Drosophila melanogaster: one gene and its partners. The protein of the gene in region 2 interacts with the protein of the main gene of each other region in a biochemical or structural test. Each region holds a gene or a part of one and is shown on either strand. Other genes may lie near its edges. The genes, in order: Orc2, Orc4 and Cdc6.

The links.
Region 1: the proteins of Orc4 (region 2) and Orc2 form a complex in vitro, tested with the Drosophila melanogaster proteins (3 studies listed by BioGRID, with this or other methods).
Region 3: the proteins of Orc4 (region 2) and Cdc6 form a complex in vitro, tested with the Drosophila melanogaster proteins (one study listed by BioGRID).

The regions. Positions count from the first base shown.
Region 1 is NT_033777.3:13,961,210-13,968,914, forward strand, and holds Orc2 (origin recognition complex subunit 2), read left to right. Parts: upstream 1-3,675; 5' UTR 3,676-3,724; intron 3,725-3,782; 5' UTR 3,783-3,798; coding exon 3,799-4,372; intron 4,373-4,440; coding exon 4,441-5,286; intron 5,287-5,356; coding exon 5,357-5,793; 3' UTR 5,794-5,866; downstream 5,867-7,705. Other genes in the region: Kots (kotsubu), read right to left, coding at 1-126, 187-941, 1,007-2,438, 2,523-2,665. UniProt on the Drosophila melanogaster protein: Component of the origin recognition complex (ORC) that binds origins of replication. DNA-binding is ATP-dependent, however specific DNA sequences that define origins of replication have not been identified so far.
Region 2 is NT_033778.4:24,793,898-24,800,975, forward strand, and holds Orc4 (origin recognition complex subunit 4), read right to left. Parts: upstream 3,518-7,078; 5' UTR 3,396-3,517; coding exon 3,204-3,395; intron 3,144-3,203; coding exon 1,956-3,143; 3' UTR 1,843-1,955; downstream 1-1,842. Other genes in the region: ETH (ecdysis triggering hormone), read right to left, coding at 892-1,317, 1,376-1,561; CG12849 (uncharacterized protein), read left to right, coding at 4,028-4,075, 4,134-4,289, 4,339-4,503, 4,567-4,716; CG3611 (uncharacterized protein), read left to right, coding at 5,213-5,578.
Region 3 is NT_037436.4:8,628,828-8,637,073, forward strand, and holds Cdc6 (cell division cycle 6), read right to left. Parts: upstream 5,243-8,246; 5' UTR 5,123-5,242; coding exon 3,553-5,122; intron 3,475-3,552; coding exon 3,056-3,474; 3' UTR 2,682-3,055; downstream 1-2,681. Other genes in the region: Zasp66 (Z band alternatively spliced PDZ-motif protein 66), read left to right, coding at 5,756-5,956, 6,175-6,254, 6,854-6,925.

The DNA of each region.
Region 1 (7,705 bases), on a different chromosome or scaffold from region 2:
GCCACATATTCCGTATTTCCAAAATCGCAGAATAGAATTTTGACCATATTGTCCTTAACCTCCTGGCAGACTCCGCGATACCAGTTCTTATCTTCGCTGTAGATCGCCAGGCACAGTTCACCAACGCTGCAATTGGGATAAAGTGCGTGTTAAGAAAAGGACAAGCAAATATCGAAAGCGCATTACTTTGGTACGTAACCCGGAACAACATTGTGGTCACATGCTCCCTGACTTGATGTCAAGCTAAGGATTTTTTCAAATTCCTTGGCCGCCTTTTCGTCCTTGAAGTAGGCGGCGGTGATGTAGCCAGTTTGCGGCAATCCGTCAGCGTTCATAAGGATTAGGTTGACCTTGTCGCCTAAAGGAGCTAGATTCTTGGGCAAAGCGTCGAAAAGGAAGCGTTTAATGGGCAGAACGTGGGAAGCTGACTTTGTACTTGTCACGTCGGCAGGAAAAGGCGACTCCGGTGGAGAGGGCGGCAGTGGAGGCAGATCCAGCAGAAGTAGAGACTGTGGAGACACCTTCTGCTGTTTGTGAGTTACAACAGGCAATTGACTCGGAGTAGAAGCAGCCTTCGGTGGTGCAACTTCTGCTTTTTCCTGTACCGGTGTAAATATAAGAGGCAACATTTGGGTCGTCAAGGAGCGCGAATCGCCGGAGCTGAACAGCAGGTCCACGGTCGATGTAGTTGCATCTACCATGTTCAATTTTAGCAGTTCTTTTTGGGCGCAGAGCTTGTGCAGCATTTGAATGGCCGCATTGTTAACTGGCACAGCTGCATCCGGAATATTGCAGACATTCTGCAACTGTACACGCATCAGACATACGGGCAAATTCTCCAGGAAGCGACAGGAGCTGCGTATTTCCGCCAACTCCACCTTTTGGGTGGCACCAGTATCAACGTTCATTACTTCGAACAATCCACTATCCTTACTCAATATCTGTAAAATTCGAAAAGTTCATAGACTTTACTGATTGAAACCCTGCAACATAAATATCGACAAACCTCGCCCCGGAAGTGACCCATCTGCTTGGAGACAACGAGCACGATGCTGCCAACGGAAACATCACTAGATTTGGTAATGGTAGCGCACTTGTACTCCAGGCGCTTGAAAATTTCCGCATACTGCTTGGCGTCTGGAGTGCTGATGTATACCTCCTTAAAGCTGACCAAGTGGGAAATGAATACGATGGAATCATGGACGATGGGTTCACGCCAGTACTTGTGGCCTAAATATGAAATCTGACCCAAGAAAGTGATCAGACGGGCCATACATATCTGCTCGCCCTTGGAATTCAAGGCGGCATTCGCCGCGCGTAACTTTTCCTTGGGCGGCTTATTATCCAGCTTAAACTTGACCGTGAGTTCTGCACCTTGAGTCTCAAGCTCCTCGGGTACGGAGTCCTCCAGCTGAGCGGCAAACACTCGACTGGGCAGGCCAAGTAGTTCGCTGGGAATACGACTCAGATCGGTGGCTATGGACACTCTACCCTCGTCCATTTCGTAAACCAAATAGGTTGGCCTCGGTTTCATGATATGATCCAATAGGAAAGCTCGCCGATAACCATTTTTAGTGCGGGTGGCCGCAAAGAAGATGGATTTCTGCTCGGGGAAGGGCAGCGTGAATGGCTGTCTTGGCTTCTCGGCTATGCGGTTGTTTAAGTCTGCGTTGACATGGCCCATCACGTTGATCTGGAGTAGGGCCAGCTGCGGTTCGTTATGCTTTGGATTTGCCTTAAAGACCCGGATGACTTTGACTTCTGGATTAAGCTGCAGCATCTCCAAGGGCAAACTTAGTGGTATTATCATCTTGGGCTTTAGATGGACGTGATAAGCTCCGTCGCTGGTTTTGGTTCCCAACATACGGAGCGTCAAGTTCTTAATGTCCTGAACTCCAGTGTTCGTGGGCAATTGAACACGGAAAGCGAACGCCTTGCTTTCGGCCATCTTGGGCACAATGGTGTAGATATCCCGAAACGGTGTAGCTACTATCTGACCGTGGTCAATCATACGGACATTGGCTTCTTGCTTCTTTTGGCAAACCGTCAAAACATGACCGCGATGGACCTTGTCGCCCACACTGATGGCCACGAGGGTGTCCTCCCGCACTCCTTCCATACGAATCATCTTCTTATTCTGCATGCAGCGCTGCATGTTGACCGTCATTCGCTCAATGGCCTCCACATTCGCCACGTGCACCACCCAAATGGGTCCATCGTTCTCCATGAAAGTCACGCGGCACTTGAAAAACTCCATGCCCGACGGCAGCAAATGTTTGCGCCAGTTTTCCGATAGATCCGGCTTGTTCGGCACAGCAACTGTGGGCTCCACACATGGGATTGGCGATTTAGTGCGAGTTTTAGCCAGAGCAACTTGGTTCTCTACGCTCTGGATTGGATTCAACGCCGGTTGAAGAGGCCGGCACTCCACCAAGGGTCTGGAAACGCATTTGTATTGTATAAGAATTAAAAACCCCTAACTTAATGCACTGCTGCGCAACGGATTTACTAATTTAACTCACGGCATAATGATGCACACCTGCCTGTGCCTCTGCCAATCCAATTTCTGGCACTTTTCATTGCAGTACGGTTCTCCACACCGCTGGCACATCAATCTGGTCGGAGTGCCACAGACGACGCATGTCTTTTCCTCCGACTTTTCCATTTCTTCAATTCAAAGTAACAACGCAAGAACGTGTGAATGAAAGAACGGCGCGTTAAAGGAAACGCAGCAAAATGGCGCTAACAGAACTTTTAGCACGCGATGAAATACAAAGTGAAAATCTATTTACGCTGGACGAGAACTTTCTATGTTTTCGTTTTGAAAAAGGTGGAATCCTTTAGAATTTAAGTGCGCGATTCACAACTCACAAACATGCGATACGTTCACTAAACGCGTTTAAATTCGAAGCTCGCTGGGCACGCGCTTCAGTGCATTGAACGAACGTGGGAAGAAAGAGAACAGGACGATATCGATATCGGTTGGTTTTCGATTTACAGCGCACTGATGGAAGTAAACTTGATCGTTAATTAAAAAAGGAAAAATAAGGCTTACGAAGTTTTTAAACTTTAATTAAAACGACACAACATATGCTAAATATTCTACATATTCCAGTTACAATCAATTTCGCCAAGCCATTTTCATGGAAGTTGAATACTCTTTGAACCTGTTTGAATATATCTGAAAACGCAAATCTACTTTGTGTTATTATTTTGCCAATATAGGCAATATTATTTGAAAATTAACCGCAAGTCCATTGACGACCGCAATTCAGAATAAGAACGTAGCGTAATTTTCCCATCTTCAAATATTGTTTTTCCTAAACTTACCGATTTTAACACTTTTTAGTTTTAAAAACGTTTGTGGTTAATCCGCAAGGAATTTGTGACAGTGAAAAAATAACCGCTTTGTACGCGCACGTGTTGCCAACAAACACTTCAGCTTTTGTCAGTGACTGGATTCTAATTTAAATTTATCGATAACGTATGCAATTCTTATTCGAACAATATAGTTATTTCTAAAAACTGTGTCACGGAATTTCTTTTTGTAATTATTACCTATATAAATATATATTTATACAAATATTTATAACATTTGTGTTTTAATTGTCATGCCCCTTTAGTTTTTTTTACGCTAGAAACTTAGCTACTTCCTAGGTCGAGAGCTGGCCACACTCTTGGCATGTCTTAGTTATCGATAATTCCCGCCACTTCTGAGCATTGAGTATATTTTGCGAACTATTTGTTTACCAATTGAATATTTTGATAATCAGGGCCCCCAGTGAAGTGGCAAGCGTCATGAGTGCCAGCAACAAAGGCGGTTACAAGACGCCGCGGAAGGAGAACCTCATGTCCATTGAGAACCTCACCAATTCGGAGGAGGAATCCGAGGACTTGAACACGGCAATGGTTGGGAATGCAGTGGAATCTCAGCCCAAGGTCACCAGTCGGCGTTCCACCCGACGTCCAAGTCCCACCAAGAAATACCAGGCGTACCAGAAGGAAAGCAATGGAAAAGGCCAGGAAGAGCGAATTGTTGTGAACTATGTGGAAATGTCCGATGAACGGAGCAGCGATGCGGAGGATCAGGAAGAAGAAGAAAGCATCGAGGAGTCGGAAAATGCTGCCCGTCCCGCTGCCAAGGATCTGCATCTCATCCAATCCGAGTACAATGTGGCCGGCACCAGCATGTTTGGCTTCAATACGCCCAAGAAACGCGATGCCATGGCACTGGCCGCCCTAAATGCCACGCCCTGCACGCCCAAGACCCCAAAAACGCCGCGTTTGGGTGTCAAGACGCCGGATACGAAGCGCAAGAAGTCCATGGATCAGCCAAAGACTCCCGCCCATGTGCGCACCCGCGTCAAGAAGCGTGGGTAGCCTTTTTCTGCGTCCTTTTACCATTTTTTCCATTATTTATAAATTCATTATCACTTTCAGAGATTGCCAAAATAGTGGCCGACTCAGATGAGGATTTTTCTGGAGATGAAAGCGATTTCCGGCCCAGTGACGAGGAATCCTCCTCCAGCAGCAGTAGCAGCGATGCTGGCAACTCCTCTGACAACGACGCCGCCGATGATGAGCCCAAAACGCCCAGTAGAGCCCGCCGTGCCATTGTAGTCCCCGTTCTGCCGAAAACTCCATCGGCAGCCCGCCTGCGACAATCGGCGAGGGCGAAAAAATCGAATGAGTTTGTGCCCGAGAGCGATGGTTACTTTCACTCGCATGCCAGCAGCAAGATCCTCACTTCGGATCACACCTTGGATCGCCTAAAGAATCCTCGCCTGGCCGCCGATCGTGTTTTCAGTTTGCTGTCGGAAATCAAGACATCGGCGGAGCATGAGGGTTCTATTAATGCCATTATGGAGGAGTATCGATCGTACTTTCCCAAGTGGATGTGTATTCTGAACGAAGGCTTCAATATACTTCTATATGGATTGGGCTCCAAGCACCAGCTGCTGCAGTCATTCCATCGGGAAGTTTTGCATAAGCAAACGGTATTGGTGGTGAATGGCTTCTTTCCCAGTCTGACCATCAAGGATATGCTGGATAGCATCACAAGCGACATATTAGATGCGGGCATTAGTCCGGCTAATCCACATGAAGCAGTGGATATGATCGAGGAGGAGTTCGCACTGATACCGGAAACACATTTGTTCTTAATCGTCCATAATCTGGATGGAGCCATGCTTCGCAATGTGAAGGCACAGGCGATTCTTTCGCGCCTGGCGCGCATACCGAACATTCATCTACTGGCCTCCATTGATCACATAAATACCCCACTGTGTGAGTGCACCGATGCTTTGAGATCTTTATAGTGCGACAGCAAAACTAATTATTGTTTACGAATTTGCAGTGTGGGACCAGGGAAAGCTGTGCAGCTTCAACTTCTCGTGGTGGGACTGCACAACAATGCTGCCATATACGAACGAAACTGCGTTCGAGAACTCGCTGCTGGTGCAGAATTCCGGCGAATTGGCCCTCTCCTCGATGCGCAGTGTCTTCTCATCGCTAACGACCAATTCGCGTGGCATTTACATGCTGATTGTTAAGTATCAATTGAAGAACAAGGGCAATGCCACATACCAGGGCATGCCGTTCAGGGATCTCTATTCGAGTTGTCGCGAAGCATTTTTGGTCAGCTCAGATCTGGCACTGCGTGCCCAGCTCACCGAGTTCCTCGACCACAAGCTGGTCAAATCGAAACGGAGCGTTGATGGCTCCGAACAGCTAACCATTCCCATTGATGGCGCACTGCTGCAGCAGTTTCTCGAGGAGCAGGAGAAGAAATAGGCCATCGGCGTAATTTTAGAACATATTAATTTATTATCTAATATTGTTAAATACAATTACAATTTCGCTTTTTAAAAATGTTGTGTTGCTGTCACTTGTATTGCCCATGATGAGTGCGCAGTGTTTGTTTTCGCTCTTTTTTATTTTTTTGTCAATTTCTACACATTAAGATTGGCATGCATAAAATTTGTCGCTTTGCTCGAAGATACACATTCTAGGATGGCTAGTTTTTTTCCTCAGCTCCAGTTGCGAGCATATAGCAACACAAAACTTCACAAAGCACTGCAAGTGCTCGACGACTGCGGGGATGAGAGCGCATTTGGATACGATTTTAAGGATCAGAAGAGGCGAACTAAACATAGCTAAGCATGCCAAAAATGATAAGACTCACTACCGCCTGACCATTCCGTGCTCCTCATCCATTCCAAAGGCTAATATCGGTTACCTATTCACTATACAGACACGCACATACACAGATTAAAGCGTTGGACTTGTAACTAGTTAATTGTGCACTCGAAACGAAATGTAATTGCTGCGACTAAGGCTAGTTTATTTACACTTTCTTGATAGCAAATCACATGCGAAGTCAATCGGAAGTACACATACAATGGGGAATCGTTCATGGCTGGCTCCTATTAATATTATTTTGAGTTTATTGCAAAATTCTACCCCTTCCTGAATACCTGAATTGTACACACCGAGTTTGCGATCAGCATTTTTGCATATAAAAATGTCTTATCTCCTGCGCCGCACATTTACTTTTTCTTTAATAGTTAGATAATTGTTATCACGTTTACTTTGCTCGTCCTTTTTTTTAAGCTTCGTTTGTGGGAATGAATGGCAGAATGTGGTTCTGAATCAATCAGAAGAGAAACCACCCAAGAGAATCTCCCCTTTTACAAAATGAATCGATGCAAGAGTGTTGTTGGTTTTTCACTTTTATCGGCTTATTATACACAAATTGCTACTGCTTGCGTTTATTTCGACAATGCTTTGTTTGTTTGTTTTTATAGTTTTGTACAACAAATTAATTACATTTTGCGCTTAACAAAGAGAAACAGGCGTCTGATATTGAAATTTAGATACTTTTAGATACTTAAGAAAAGACGAGGGGAATCGAAAAACAAAAGTTCAGGCATGAATTCAGCGATGAAAAGTAAATTAAAGTTTAGAACTCGGGTAAACAATAAATTTTTACATTCTCCTCAATTTCATGGGGGAGTTCTTCGATTTTGGTGGGTGGTGGGTGCAATTAAACCTTGAATCTGAAAATTTTTTCCGAGTTTACATATACACAATATATAAATCAACTTCATTATCATATCCGTATCATTACTCATTTACTCGTTACTCATTAGTCATACTCATCGAATATACATCACAATCAAAGTGTACGCTTTGTAATTATACGCAGTAATCGGTAATTATAATAGTAATAATAGTAATCATAATAATAATAATAATAATAGTTACGCTTTCTCAGTGAATTTCTTTATTTCTGCTTGTATTTATGCCTTCGATTTTTACTTTTAGTTTTTACTTTACTTTAAATTTAATTTATTTTACTTTCCGTTTTGTTTTTTATGCTCTTTTTTTGTTTGCATTATTTTTTAGGTTTTTTTGTTTTTGTTGTTGTTGTTTCTTCTTTAATTGCTGCTTTTGTTTCAAGTTGTGTTTTGACTTAAGATTAAAATTAATTCATAATTATTACTCGTAAACATATTAATCATAAGGTAATATTAAATCAACAAATAAAATACATTTAAAATCAAGTTTATCAAAGTGAATTAAATTACTTGAAATCGAAACAATAAACGGTACGGCTCGCTATGCTTTTGCTCCTGCATTTGCATTATCTGTCTGCGTTTAACATAATCTATTGCGTTTGTAGTATTGCCGCCGTATGCATTCT
Region 2 (7,078 bases):
AGTGAGGCATTGCAAAAATTTCAAAGTCAAGTTTGCGTCGTCATCGCGTCTGAGTCCGATCAAGCCGGGCTTGTAATTGAAGTTGTTGATGAGCCGCGGGATTACTGGATTGTGGCGAATTCTGGTCAGCATACTTAACAGCAGCCCGCTAATTAAGCAAAATAAACATATCAAATTCCAGAATGCGACGGCGCCATCATCCTGTTTGGGAATTCAATTCGCGGGCAGATCGTTTAATTCAATTAAAAGGTAGAAGTCGGTAAAAGGGAGCAGAAGAATGCGATCGCTGGAATTTCCTAACATCACGGACCCCATAAATTTGATAAGCCCGAGCTCGCTGCGTTGAGTCAGCCACCCCACATCCCCAAATCCCCGCCAAAAGAAGACAGCTGGGTTGTTGACTCGCCAGATTGAGGTGCGGATTGCAGTGGAGTGGACCTGGTCAAAGAAGCACCGTTAATGTGCTGATTCCATTCGATTCCATCCGGGAATGCGATAAAGAAAGGCTCTGATCCAAGCAACTGCAATCCGGATTTCGATTTTCTCTTTCCATTTGGTTTTGTATTTACGTACTTATGGGAAAGCATTCTAATGAAGACTTGGAGAAGACTTACGTTATATTCAGACCATCGTGCGATAGAGGATGAGTCATTTCCATATGGCCGAAATTTATTATGTTTACTATCGTTTTTAGAGGTGTTTTTTGGACTTACCAAAAGAGGCATTTGTTTTCTGGGATTATTCAACTGAAAAGATATTTAAATTTTTTCTTGGACCATTTTCAAGGTTCCGGATATATTTGAAACACACTAGCTAGCAGTGTTGGTAAGTTACATGTATTTCTATAATGTCATATTCCTTTGTCCGTATTCAAATCGAATACTCCACATCTCACAGGATGTTGTACTTGAGGAATTGGCGATCGTAGCGATTTCCCCCGCCGTAAAGTTCCTGATCCTCGTTGTTTTTGTACATCATAAAGTCCGGATTCTGCTCGTCGCCGAAGATGGGAACGAAGCTGCCAAAGCTGAGAGTCTGCTTGAGGTGCTGGTCCGGACGGCGTCCCAGCTGGATAACCTTGCTGTACAGATCGGCATCTGCCTGGAGGGCACGATCGAAATCCTTCCAGTGGACGAACTTCACCTGCTCGCTGGGAATAGCGTTGTTGTCAAGCAGCTCAAGGAGCGTATTCGAGTTGACGGGCTGCACCACGTTAAGTTCCTGCTCCTTCGCTGGGGATTCCCCTGCGGGTAAGCGCCGCTTGCTTGGACTCGTTTCCAAATCCCATAGCCACGCCAGCAGAGGAGTAACAGAGCTCTGAAAACAGTTCATGGTTTAAAAATATCCTTTAAGAAAGCCCATGGGTATAACTTACGTGCTCACTGCGTCCTATGCGAGGAATGGTCTTTAGGTTCTTTATGGCAAAGTTCTCGCCTCGCTTGCCCAGCCGCGGTACGTTCTTGGTGATCTTTAGGAAGAATCCTGGACTACTGTCGTCTGCCTGGCTTATGGCCACAAGACCCACCAAGAGCGAAACAGACAGGACTGTTATGATTCTCATGCTGATGCGACTGAAGCTTCACCTGACTCCTGCTCCACAATTGGTGGCCTTTATATAGCGAGATCCACCCGCATCTTGCGTGGAATAGAAATGCGGGTGACTCCAGGAATTAGCATTATCGATCGGAAAGTGCAAAGCAGATAAAACTGAACTAACCTGACCTAAATGCCTGGCCATAATTAAGTGCATACATACACATTACATTACTTACATTTGTATAAGAACTAAATTTTATAGTACATACCACTTGCGTATGTAAATGCTTGTCTTTTCTCTTATATACGTTTTATAAATTAAAATTAGTTTATTTTCCCAAAACAGGGCTTTACCAACTAAATGATTCGGTACAATTTTTTTTAAATAAATAAATATACAAAGTATTTCTGATCTGCTGCTAAATCAGAGAGCTTTGCGCCCACTGAGCAACCTCTGTGGGAAGGGCCTGGTATCGCTGCATACAGTGGTGAATCTGGCTGTATGTCAGCGCCAGCTTATGCATCTCAAACTCTTTCTGCACCTTACCTACGCCCCCTCCAGCTCCACCGGTGAGCGGCATGATCAGCTCTGCGATGCGTAAATGCTCGAAGGCCTTCAGGACAATGGACCGCTCCACGGCCTGCATTGTGGTGGACACTTTGGCAAACTTGGAAAAGCGCGCGTAAATGATCTCGAAGTTGAAGGAATCGCGATCGTAAATCTGCGAATGGTGCTTGATGGCGATGATCAGGCACAGCTCTAGGACTGAGAGCCCGCAAAGCAGCTCTATCTTGTCGTCGCCCTCAAACTGTGATCCCACTGCAGCCATTTTTTCGGCTGTGATGTGGGGAGATTGCGGTCGGAGATGTGCCACCAGGCGGAATAGGAAGTTCTTGAGATAGGCCTCGCTAATGTCGAAGTCATGGAGCGCTTGGAGGGTGCTTCTTGCCTGCTGAGTGGCCAGGACTTTGCATATTTGCTTGTTCCAGGCATCGCGTAGTCTGGGCGAAAAGCCGTACTCCCCGGGGTCAAAATGGTTGCGGGAGAAGTAAAGTGCCCCCGACTGGATGTTTTGTAGGTTATAGATTTTCTCCGCCGCCAGCAACAGTGAATTGCCGGTCGGGAGGGACAGTAGATCCCTGCACAGGTCAACGTAATCCTCAAAGCGCCGCAAGCTGGGAAAGAGAAAGACCTGCCGGTGCGAGAAACGCGACTTGACCCGCTTCTCCAGCAGCTCGATCACGTCGAGGCGACAGGTAACGCCAAGTACACAGATGGGCGCCTGGGCTGACTGGGAGACGTCGAAGAGGTTGTAGAGCAGGGTCTGGTTGTGGTGAGCACAGAAGAGGTCGAACTCCTCGAGAATAAAGATCACGCTCTTGGAATGCTTGCCACCCGCCTTGAGGCATTGCAGCAGGAAGGCGAGGTTCTCGGCGAACGATCCGAACACTTTCCCATCCGCAGCGTTCTCCAGCTGCATCTGCACAGTGATGGACTTCAGGGCCACTCGGTCGTCCGTGTGCAGATTACCGTCCAGGTGGACGATGAGAGTGTTTTCCCCGAACGATTTATTGGGCAGCAAATCGGCCAGCACGGAGTTGATGAGCTAAAGAATTTGAAAGCATAGATTACTGGATTGGTTTCCCGGTAAGGCCTGCACTCATACCGTTGTCTTTCCGGATCCCCGCGGCCCAAGGAGCAGCAAGGAGTTGGATTCCCCCATTTCAGCTGTGCGTTGCAGCAATAGGCGCACATTGGACCGCTCCTTTGCGTAGCCCCTCAAGGTGGTGTAGTCTCGCTGGAGGCGCTCCTTCAGGAAGCGCCTGATGCTGACCAGCTCCCTATCCGCCTCCGGCATTTTCGCTCTCGGATCGGAACTCCTTTATTCCTCCTTATTTATTAGTTAAATGGACGCACAGATAGTTTGGATTTCTGCCAGTAATTAAGTCGCGCCAAAAAACGTCAACAATGCATTGGGGATGGAACAAAACCGATATTGGTTCATTTAATGTACGGTGGTTTGGAACTCTGATACTACTCAGTGTTGCCTTAAGCCGCCTGAAAAATATATTCGTGCCACAAACCAATACGATCTAATTTCTGCGGCTTTAGCACATTTTGAAATATCAACATTTTAGTTCATACAAAATGGACCTACGATTGAGGAATATGTACAATAGTAACTCTATAAATAACAATCAATTATACATATAAACATCTTTAAAAATATGAACAAATTTCTTTATTAATCGCATAGTCGTTGGCATTTTGAGGGTCAATTTGCTGGAATAGGTTTATTTGGAATGCTGTGTATTTTAAATGTCCATTAAAATAAGTTATTAAACACTCAATGGATTCTCAGAGATTATTTAATATCGGCTGGCAATTTCATAACAGCAATGGATCGAGTAATCACAATTAATAACTTTTGGAATGCTTCAGCTTTTGGCACTCGGTATTGTGGTTATTGTGATCCAGACCTCTTTAGGAATGAGCGGATTGTGGACTTTTCTGCTGATTTTTATGTCTCCGATGGCAGTAAGAATCGAATGCGTATGGCTAATAGATGGCACTATAGAATAATTGATATCCAAAGATCCGAGGACACTTCGAATTCAATAATGTAGTCTGCCTCGTGCGCGACAGGATGTTTATGGACTTTGAGTACTGTTACTTGAAGTCCGTGAACCGCACCTACAAGTACCTTTCGCTAAAAACAAAGATGTTCCGCCTGCCCGTCGACAACTGCGAGGTAAGAGTATAGAACTGTGTCGGTCTCACACCACCCGACCATCTTCCAGACCAGATTCCAGCTGAGGATGCGCGAGAACAGGCGAGTCCTGTACAACTTTGATTTCAAGGTGGACTCCTGCAAGTTCATGCGCGACCGCAAGCACGTGATCGCCAACTGGGTCTACCAGACCTTCGGCCCCTACTCGAACCTGAACCACACCTGCCCCTACGACGTGAGTGAGCGTTGCCATGTTCATGCCGCATAACCTTCGCCTTTCTCACCCACCCACCCACAGCACGACATCGTGCTCGACAAGCTTCCCGTGCAGCATCTGAACAAGCTGGTCCAGTCGATCATCCCCGATGGCAGATACATGATGAACAGCACATGGATGGTCGCGGGCATTCCGCGCACCGATGTCATCCTATACTTTACCAAGAGCTAAACAGTCAAATCCAGTAATATCCAGGCTCTTCAACCCGTAAGCAGAAATATTGGTAAGGTGTTATGCCGTTTTAGTATTGGATGGGGGTCAGCAGGACCAATATAGTAAATATAGTAAGTCTAAGTGGGTCTGTATGTGATGTATTTGTCACATTACTGAGATTTACGAAAATAAATATAGTGTAGTGACGAAAGTTAACTTAAACATGTACATAGGTTTCAGACTAGGCCAGTTCGTAAGCGTTAACAATTATGTGCAGAGTTTCTGCACAGGTGGCTGGCAGTGACCTGGATGCACTGCACCTGTCGTCTGTCAAGTGGCTGCTAATGCGATTAGGGAGCACACAGAAAACGGGATTGGCACTCGGGACTGGCAACTCAGCTGCCAATCAGGTGGGCCAGCCACAAACTTCACACATTTCGGACACATATATCAATCCACTCCACAACCAGAAGGACACGAAGTAAAGTAAACACAACCCCACACCCCTGACAAGATGCCGGCGGACATAGTGACCACGGAGCAGCTGCGCTACCAGCTCGCCTTCAGTCATGCCATGGAAAGGACGACGAGGCACTGGCAGGAGACCTTCGCGTGGTACCCTAAGATGCAGTGCTGCCATTATCAGCGGATTGACCAGATCTATCTGACGAGTCGCCAGCGGTACGGCGACGGCCACTTCCTCAAGTACGCCAACCGCAGGCGCCTGGCAAAGAAGTTCGTGGTTACCGCCCAGGAGGTTGCGGAAGGTTTGGAGGATCTGAAGATGCTGGAGCAAGACGGCATTACGGGCCTCAAAGTTGCGGTCACCGAGAACGGGGAGTACGGCCGAATGAAGCCCTCCAAGCTGTACATGTGCTAGGACACCCTGTGACCAGCCGGCCCGCTCTGCTCCCCAATCCTCGCCAGAACCCCTCACGATTAAACTATCATTCTCTGCTGACAATGCAACTCTCAATGGCCGTCACTCATTACGCGATTTTAGCATGACCGTGCGCATAATTAACAAGGTGAAAACGTCAGTCCCACCTGCAACTGCTTGCCCCGCCCGCCTCGCCGCCGTAGCGAGTGCTCACTGTACCTTCTCCTACTGGGGCGCAGTTGAAAAGTTCACACAGGTAATTAAGTGATCGCGTCTGTCCACTCCATGAGATGACTTGCCTCGCTTGTTCGGGATCTCGGAAACTGCTTTATGGCGCCCATAAACTGGGAAATATTATGCTCAGTGAATTAATTATAGATACCATGCGAATCTTAAGGATTTCGTTTAGGACAGTCACTTCGCCTGATAACTGATTGATAAATTTACAATTGTGAAATATAATCTGGGATACTGTTTGCGAAAATATAGTTATTTCGGGGCACGCCGCACTGCGAGTTCCTTGATAAATGTGTCCATCGACGCAGCTGCTCCTCCTGCGATTGCAGACGTAAGCCCAGGTGTCGTGGGCCAACTTCGAGCAGTATGATTTAAAAGTTCCATATGCAAATTACCCTCAAAGTTTCCGGCGAGCCCATCCGTCTATCGGAGTGCGTGGTAGATGGAAATGCGAAAGTGGCAAGTGGAAATGTGAACTGTGAAATGGGGAAAATAGGAAATGCAAATGCCCATGCAAGTGTGCAAATTACACAAAGGACGCTAACTTTGGGCCAACTTGCGAACTGGGCCAGCGACTCATTAGACACATGACAGCATTCACAGAGTGGGTGGTGGTTCAATCGGCCCAATGTGCGGGGAAGGGGAGGTGGATCGTCAGGTGGGCAGCGGCAAGTGCGTGTGAAAAATCAGCCATCAGCAGCCCACAGAATCGCCAAGCGCGCAATTAAACGGTAGCGGATAATTGCTATCGAAAGCCATAATGATGGCCGGATCAGTACTTACCCCGACTCCAGTATATGCTTCCATATCTTGATGCGGCTCTCCAGAGGAGAGCTTTGTGCGCCTTTCTCGGCTCTCATTGTTCACCCGATTTTCCCATCAGCATCGCATCGATGCGAACTTTTCGAGACCATCACCTTATTTCTGTTGACTCATACTCCTCCCAATCCAACGGACGGACAGCCTCTGATTTTGGCGGTGCTCAAGACTGAGCAGTGGTGACAGTCGAAAAAGCAGGCCAGAACGAGAGTTGCTGCGCTGTAGAGCTCAAAACAAATAAACACAGAGACACCTACTTGCCATACTTTGCACTCGGGGGAGTGGGTGTGCAGAGAGGTCAGGGGTCAACCCCTTTTCGGGCAGGGTAAACAACATTTGCGGATTTCACGCCAGGGCTCAGACAGCATTGCTGATCCTATTAGTGCTCGTCAGGGGCCTCGATTGACTGACTGGCGCCATGTCTCAGGTCTCAGGTCTCGGTCA
Region 3 (8,246 bases), on a different chromosome or scaffold from region 2:
CAGGTGACCTCCCCACGATGATGGGAGTTGGTCTATTCTCAGCATTATAGTATTGCGAGGGGTTATTGTACTTTGCCTTAACTAATTTATGGTTAATATGTACCTTGAATGCGTTCTATTTGTGTTCGTTAATTTCTCTTTGTTAGAGGCGCGGAACGCACAAAAAACCATCAGTCGGATTGTTTATTGATCGTTTTGTTTTAAACAAGCGCGGGTGCACCAAGAAAAATTCCATTGGTGTGCTGAGAATGTAGCTGATATGTTTTAGAAATTATTAATATTGCAACAAGGTTATGAGAATTATGTTAAGTATATATATATTATTATGAGATATTCTCATAAAAAATATATTTTTTTTTTTTGCTTTCTGTAAATCATTATTTTTCTCCAAGTGCATCACATAGTCAAACGAACTGCAGCCTTCGCAGTAGGGAACATATTTAGCACATGATTCCGTGTAAGTTATGCGTTCCTTGGTTTCTCCATCGAACTTGAGACTTTTCCAACGCCTTTCAAGGCCAATTACACCTGCTCGTGTGTTTTTGGATCAGTCAAAATCAACATCAAATGATATGCCCAATGCCCTGTTCCAATGCCAATTGCTTATGACAGCCAAGAAAACTCAGCATGCCAATGCCAATATGGTTTTGAGATTTACGAACTGGGATCGGTATCTTTGGAACTGTCAGAATTGGTTGACAAATCTGCGATTTGGAAATGCTAAGTGACAGTGCAATTTGGCAATTTGGCGAAAGCAAACTGAGCAAATCAATAATTTAACAGCAGATTTGCGAAATATTTTTATATTCACATTTATGTTGCTGCAGTGGGGCGAAACAATAACCTCGAGTGCGATAAATATTTGTGCCTAATTTTCGAAATACGAAAAAAGTGCTATGTGAAATTGCTCCACAAAAGCAGCAATTAAAACATATACGCGAGATTTGTTATATGTGAATAATGTGAATAATTCTCGACTGAGGCGGCAGGACAAACAACAACATCCGTTTGGTAAGGGGAGGAAATGGGGGCGGTGTTTAAGGTGGCGCGTGGGCGGGAACCGAGGAAAAAAAAAACAAAAATATAGATCACACCAAGTCCAAGTTTATACGATGGTGTATTGTTGTTGCCCGCGTTTACGCTCGGTGAACAGGCTATTTGCACAAAAACATATTTTGTATATTTAGGAAAATCTGCTCTCTCTCTCGAATATATAGGATTTTCTAGTGGATTGGTATGAGTGCGTGGGTCGAACGAACGGCCTCTGACCGTCAGCACTCGGTTTTCTATATGGTGGCTCACACAGACAGACAGGCAGATAGACACTCTCCAACCAATACCGAGTTGGCTATATAGACAAATTGGAATTCCGCGCAGTCGGAATAGCAATAATTCGCCAGCATTTGAAAATTTTCGAATCAGTTGCGTTCGGAATATTGAAAAATAAACAACAATAAGACTCGAGCTCGAGCATCCTTTTTGTAGTGAATCCTAGTGTAAAGATCTCCGATCTCACCAGCTGCAGCGTTGATTTAAACGTGACGAAGAAGCAAGTTGCCAATAATATATTACAAAATTCAAAAAAAAAAAAAAATTTACCAAACAAAAATTAAAAACACTGCGTGATCTTCCATTACGTAATTGCATCTGGCTATAATATCTTTCGTTTCTATTTTGTTCGAATTGAAGGAGTTTAAATTCAAACACAAAACACACACATTGCAAAAATGGAGTACGTTCAGTTCAAAAACGGATCCCCAGTCTACTACAAGGAGCAGCCAGACCTCAATGAGTGCATTCAATACCAAGTAAGCGAGCCAGTGAACAATTAACTCGAATTAAGCCACATATAGAAAAATATTTAAAGAGAAGCCTGAGGAACGCGAAAAGTGTGTTTTGATATATGCACATAATCTTAAATGAAGATTTAACTATTGGTTTTATAAAGGATACTGGTTTAACCCCATTAGAGATAGAAAGTAAAGCAAATCATGCTGATATTTAATTAATTTTGAATTACTTTTAAATATTTCAAATTTCTAAGAACGTGGCCCAATCCAGATGAAACATTTCACCTTTACCGTCAACCGTTTGATCTTGGAATTCAAGTTCAAATGCAAATGGCAGCGCCAACAGACCTGTATGTTTTTCGAGGTTTTTCGCCTTACTGCTCCCTCAGAAATATATGTATTTTTGAGGAATAGGAATATAGAACGCCATATACCTATAGATACATTCATGCATATATCTAGCTGGCCTCTCTGCATATAGCTTATTATTCAAACATTTGTTCGCCTTTCGTCAATACGCGTCGAAAGGCAACCAGAGTTTTTGAAACATATTTTTCATTGCGCTCTGGTTGTGTCGGTGGTGCTCAATGTAATTCATACCACTCAAATGGGGATATTTTTAGAGCAGAGAGCGCAGGAAGAACAACAATAAGCCAGCAAATAAATAAACAAAATGATTATAGAACAAATTAATTTCATGTCGAGATGGCCAACAAAAGCCCACACAAATTCAGAAGCACTGGTGTTAATTTGACTGGTATGTTCTGAAAACGCCTCAGAAAACAATGGCAACAGACTTTCCCTAAGATTTTCACAACTTTTGGCACGACCCAAGATTCAAACTTGCGGCGCAGCGAAAGTGGAAAACGTTTTCACTTTTGCGTTTTATGTATTGCGGAACTATCTAGTTTATTCTTATTTGCTTAGGGCTAACAGGAAGGGGATTCTCTATAACTTATTGGTCAACGGATCGGATTAGAAATAGATTATGGGCGCAACATTTACTTAGATTTATGACACACACAAAGTCTAAAAGAATCGATTCAATTAATAGTCAGAAAATAGCAGAAAATGTCGAAAGTGACCGTCAAATGATATTTCAAAATATTTCAGTGCTTGCGCCAGCCACGAATTTTAAAATTAGCGTCAAAAAGTATTCCTATACATATACGTTCGTCCCCAAGGTGAATGAAAATGAGAAAAATGCGCAATTAACCAGCGGTTTGTCGGGCACACTCATTTCCTAGAGGTAATCGTCCAGATCGTCACTTGCTCAGGCAGGCGGTATCGCTGAGGATCGAGGCGATCAGCTGCTTGTCGCTCAGTGCCGCATGCACCTCCTCCTCGTCCCACTGCAGCAGAACCTTGTGCAGGCGCGGCTCCTTTTTGCGCATGATTCGCAGAATGCCTCGGGTCTCGACCAGATCCACAGTCCCAGTGAACTCCGCTTGGTCCAGGGCCAGGATGTTGCGTTTGGCGCACACTCTCCTGTAGACCTCGTGCAGGCGACCCATACTGATGTCTTTGTTGCGCTCGTTGCGCAGCATCAGCACCAGGGTGCACAGCATTAGCTTTTGCTGCAGCGGAAATGATGCCTCGATGTCCTCCTCCAGATTCTGTGAGGCACCGTAGACCTTGTTCAGCACTGCAGCCACTTGGGTGACCTGAACAGGCTTTAGAGTGTCTGAAATAGTCAAGATAGGATTTCTTTTTAACACATTCTATAAATTTATCTTTATATACTAAAGAAACGAAGGTTTACCTTGCTTTTCCTTGGCCTCCACCGCATCCTTGCCCTCCAGCTGCAGGGCCTTCATATTGAACTCCTTTTCGCCATCGCGCTTCTGCTGCTCTGCTATCTCGACCACTCGTCGTCCAATGTCCAGGGCCCTTCGCACATCTCCACTGATCGCACTCACCTTGGCGGCCAGCAGCTGCAGGGTCACGGGTGGAAAGACGTCCAGCACTTCCGCCTCAGCCAGACGCGACTTGAATATCTCCACGATCTGCTGCTTGGAGTAGGGCGGGAAGTGCATCAGTCTGGGCTTCAGCTCGCACCTTGCATTCAGTCGCATCAGCGCACGATCTGTGAGATCCAAACTATTGGCAATGCCCACGAGCAGTATCCTGGAGCCGGGAAGAGCTGGCCACTCGAAGATCGTGTACAACACCTCCTGCCTGCTGGTGCAGAGCTGATCAATCTCGTCCAGCACCAGCAGAAGCATTCGCTTTGCTGTCTTTAGGTGACGCTGAATGGCCTCCAAGTGATCTCTCTCTGTGCGACCGCTGACTTTGAGCTGCAGTTCGGTGCATAGTTTCTTGTAAACTGCTCCTACACTTGCTATGCTGGTGCAGTTAATGTACACACGTTGCAGACGCTTGGAGAAGTCGGGATCTCTCAGCAGTAGCGATAGGCAGGCGGTCTTGCCTGTTCCTGGCTGACCGGAGACATAGAGGCTGCCGGAAGTCTGGCTTTCCAGGTGATTGCTGAAGAATTCACGTAGCTCTTGGAGCTGGGACTCACGTCCTGGCAAGTTTTGTGTCTCGGCGCTGTTGAGCACTCGTCTGGCGTTTTGGTATTTGTTGCGTGAGGGAGATGGCAGGTTATTCTGTTGGGTTTCCTCATTGGTTTGGATATTGCTTTTTTCTTTAGTTTGGTTTTTATTCGGCTGCTTTGTTGGAGGTTTCTCCTGCTGCTTTTGCGCTAATGGATCCTCCTGCTGTTTTGGCCGAGGCTTTGCCTCGTCCTTGGCTTGATGTTTCGGCTGCTGCTCAGCCGTTTCAGTCTTGTGTGTGGTCGCCTCCACCTCTTCCTCCTGGCGCTCGTCGATGCTGAGTCTGTCCAGCAGCCGCGAAGGACTGATCAGGTGCTGTGGCAGTGGCTGCAACTTCCTCTGCTTCGGCGGCGATCCATGAAGCGGGTCCACCTCCGAATCCTGTTCGCCCTCCAAGAATCTAGCGGTGGCCTCACGGTTTTCCTCCTCACGTTTGGCCCGTGAACTGCCAGCTGATTGGACTGTTTTCTTTGTGCTGCGTGGCGTCTTTGGCAGCTCCGATTGAGCCACCTGCACTTGCGATGTCCTGCGCCTGGAGATCTTGTCCATTTTGTTGAGCACGTTGCGGTTCTCGTTGTTCTCTGAAACGGGGCTGGTCAGGTCATAGATCGCCGTCACCACCTCCTCCTCCTCGTCGCTATCGGCAAGCACTTTTTTCGGCTGCCTGCGTTTCCAAACTTCCGAGCGACGCGGCGTCTGCGTCGACGGCGGCAGCGGAGAGGCGGCGGTCGCTTTGCTGATGCTACTAAGGCGCGTGGAGCGGCGTACGGCAGCCATTCTTTAGCTTAGTTTATTGATCAGCAGTTAGTTACTATTAAATACGAGTTAAATAAGCCACAGCGTGCGTTACAATTTTCAGCTGGCAGTCACAGTTAAAAAAGCGCGCAAATTGAGTTTGCCATTCGCCACGAGCAACAGCTGATCAAGCCTGGTCTGGTCATCTGGCAGCTCTAGCCCAGAGCTGCCTATTGTCGATCGCCTATCGATTAGGCGCGCATAGTTACAACATTTCAAACAGCAGTCCGCCTATATTGAATTACTTACATACTCGCGTGTGGACGGCCTGGTAAAAATAAAATGGTCCGCGGCAGATAGAAAACACAAATCGCTGGACGTTGAACACGCTTACGTAAGCGCCTAAAAATATTTCCCCTGGCTATGGGATATTTTTAAAGTATATAAACGGGCGCACATAAAATGGAATTTAGATATAGCGAAAAAAATTATGCACACACACGCTCGAAGGAGAAATACGTAGCACAGTGGGCAAAGATCTGGTGATTTCTAGAAACTCTTTTAATCTCTGTCTGATTTATTTATATTATCATTTGCCGCAACGGCTGGTCGGCCAAATGTGTGCCCCATTTCGGCGTAAACAAAGTCGTTAATCTTCACCGATCCGCTTTCCAGCCCTACCGTACAACTCCGCTGGTCCTGCCCGGCGCCAAAGTGAAGAAGGATGCGCCCACGACAGAGTCCTACTTGAGGCACTACCCCAACCCGGCTGTGCGCGCCCACCCAGGACACGACTACCATGACAGTATCATGAAGCAGCGCGTGGCCGACACCATGCTGCACAAGGTGGTCGGTTCGGAAGCCGACACTGGCCGCGTAAGTACAGGGGACTTCTTAAAGTCACACCCACATAATGGAAAATTACAAAAACTAGAGTTTTCTACATTTAAAATTGATATTTTCAATGTTAACATTTCGAATTCGTGACCTGTAGTCTTTGTTCTAATCCTGTTACGAAATTGATTGTATTTAATTTAAGTGTAAGTTGTAATGGGTTTTACTTACATTTGTGTACATATATCCCCCGATTTTAGGTCTTCCACAAGCAATTCAACTCGCCCATTGGCCTGTACTCCAACAACAACATCGAGGACACCATCAGATCCACAGTTCCGTAAGTTGTCACCCAGAAATGTACCATCTGGAAACTCCTATGCTTAGCTCGATACAATGAAAAAAAAAAAACACTAATATATGAACTTTTGGAATTCGCTTGTCAAATTGAACTTATAAGCCTATGAATTACGCTACATATTCTTTGGATTTTGCAATTTACGAATAAACCTGCGTAGAGTTCTTCGAAATTTTTGATGCAGCTTTTCTTTTTGCCAGAGAGACAGAGAGAGCCACTCGAAATGCGCCAAGTAGCTTGAAAACTAATAAAACGAGTCACGAACACACGGTTACGAGTAGCCTAAGGTCCACATAACCCGAAAAATTGGTTCCTGGTTAAGCTGCGGCCATAATCCACTAACCCAAAAGCCACAAAATCAAAGTCGAAACGAAATTTACTAAACCGATGCACACACGAAATGAGAAACACACACAATTCGAACATACGATTGAACACGAAAACCAGTCCATAGATGTTGTACGTACTACTTACTACTGCCTACTGCCGGATCTCTGTTTTACATGCATTTATATACATTTACATATATAAATATACCACTCTCTATATATCCTATATATATTCTATGTATATTGTTGTAGCTTCGCCACAAGCGAAAGCAATCGCTTGAAGGACAGTCCTTTGCATCGTCCTTTGCCAACAAAACTTAACGGGTAAAAGTAAATTCATATCTTGAGCACAGCCTGATTTCGTTCTTTGATTGAATCCTTTCACTTTCACTTTCACTTTGATATGGAAAGCACAATGAGCAAGAACGTGGAATTGTACCTGAACTTGCCTTGAGACAAATTAAATTGAATATGAGGAATGTTTGCCAAGTTTCCCGTGTTTTCCCCTGCCTGTCTGTACAGACTAACCCTCGATTATTGTTGTCTCCCGCAACCTGAACAACTGAACTATATATGTAGTTTCTAAGAACCAGATACAATATCTATGTCAGAACAACAGAAACAACACGACACGAGTCCAAAAACCCGAATGCATGTGCTCTGCTGTCTACGAATATGTGTGTTCCTTTTTTTTCTTCTTCCTAAAAACGTCCTATTGCAAAGAAAAGCTCAAATGATCTGAGTCTGCGCTTAGGAAATCATGCTATGTAAATATGTGTATTTCTGGAAATGATCTTCACCGAAACCCCCAGCGAACGTTGTTTGTCTTGAGGCTTTTCAGTTTTGGTTTTTAGGACATATGTAAGTTTAAGGTATGGCAAAAGTGGCGTAGGTGCATCGGTAAGAGTTTTCAGTGGGTAGATCAGGTGCTGTTTCCATAGATTAACCAAGTTCAACAAATAAACGAACCCTAGACCACTCTACCACTCTAGCTCTTAGTTTCTGATATGCTTAGAACATAGCTGCACGATTAATGTTAGAATTTTCATCGATCTATCTTTCCTGGAACAAAAACGTATTATTCTGGAGCAACAAAAGCAAAAAGACCAACTGGCAGAGCAACAACGTCAACAACGCCAGCATCAACTGCAAATACTCTATCAACAAAACAAATGATCAATCAAATAGTAGCCAAAAACTGAACCCACTTCTAATAGACTATGAGCCAAATACCCTTTCCCAAGACCCCTGCTAAAAGTCCTTCCCGTCCACACTTCTTTCCGACCCACCACCCCAAAAGACTAATCCGAAACTAAAAGACGTTTGCTGAATTATATTTACGAACTGTTTGAAAGACAGCACTGAAAGTTCCTATTCTTGATCCCCATCGCTATCGCAACCCATCCAGTATTAACCGAACGAGACTAACTAACCACCCTAATCCCGCCCGATCTCAAGGCTTCGACTCATCCGATGATATACATACATGATAATCTCAATATAATCTCGCACCTTGTTATGCAGTTCTGTTTGATTACTCTTAATAATAATAATAACTAGATTGTAAGGAATTTGTTTATGAGTTTCCTATTAATCGCAATCCGTTTGAGGAGTGTGCAGTTCCAAGACAACAAAGCACACCTAT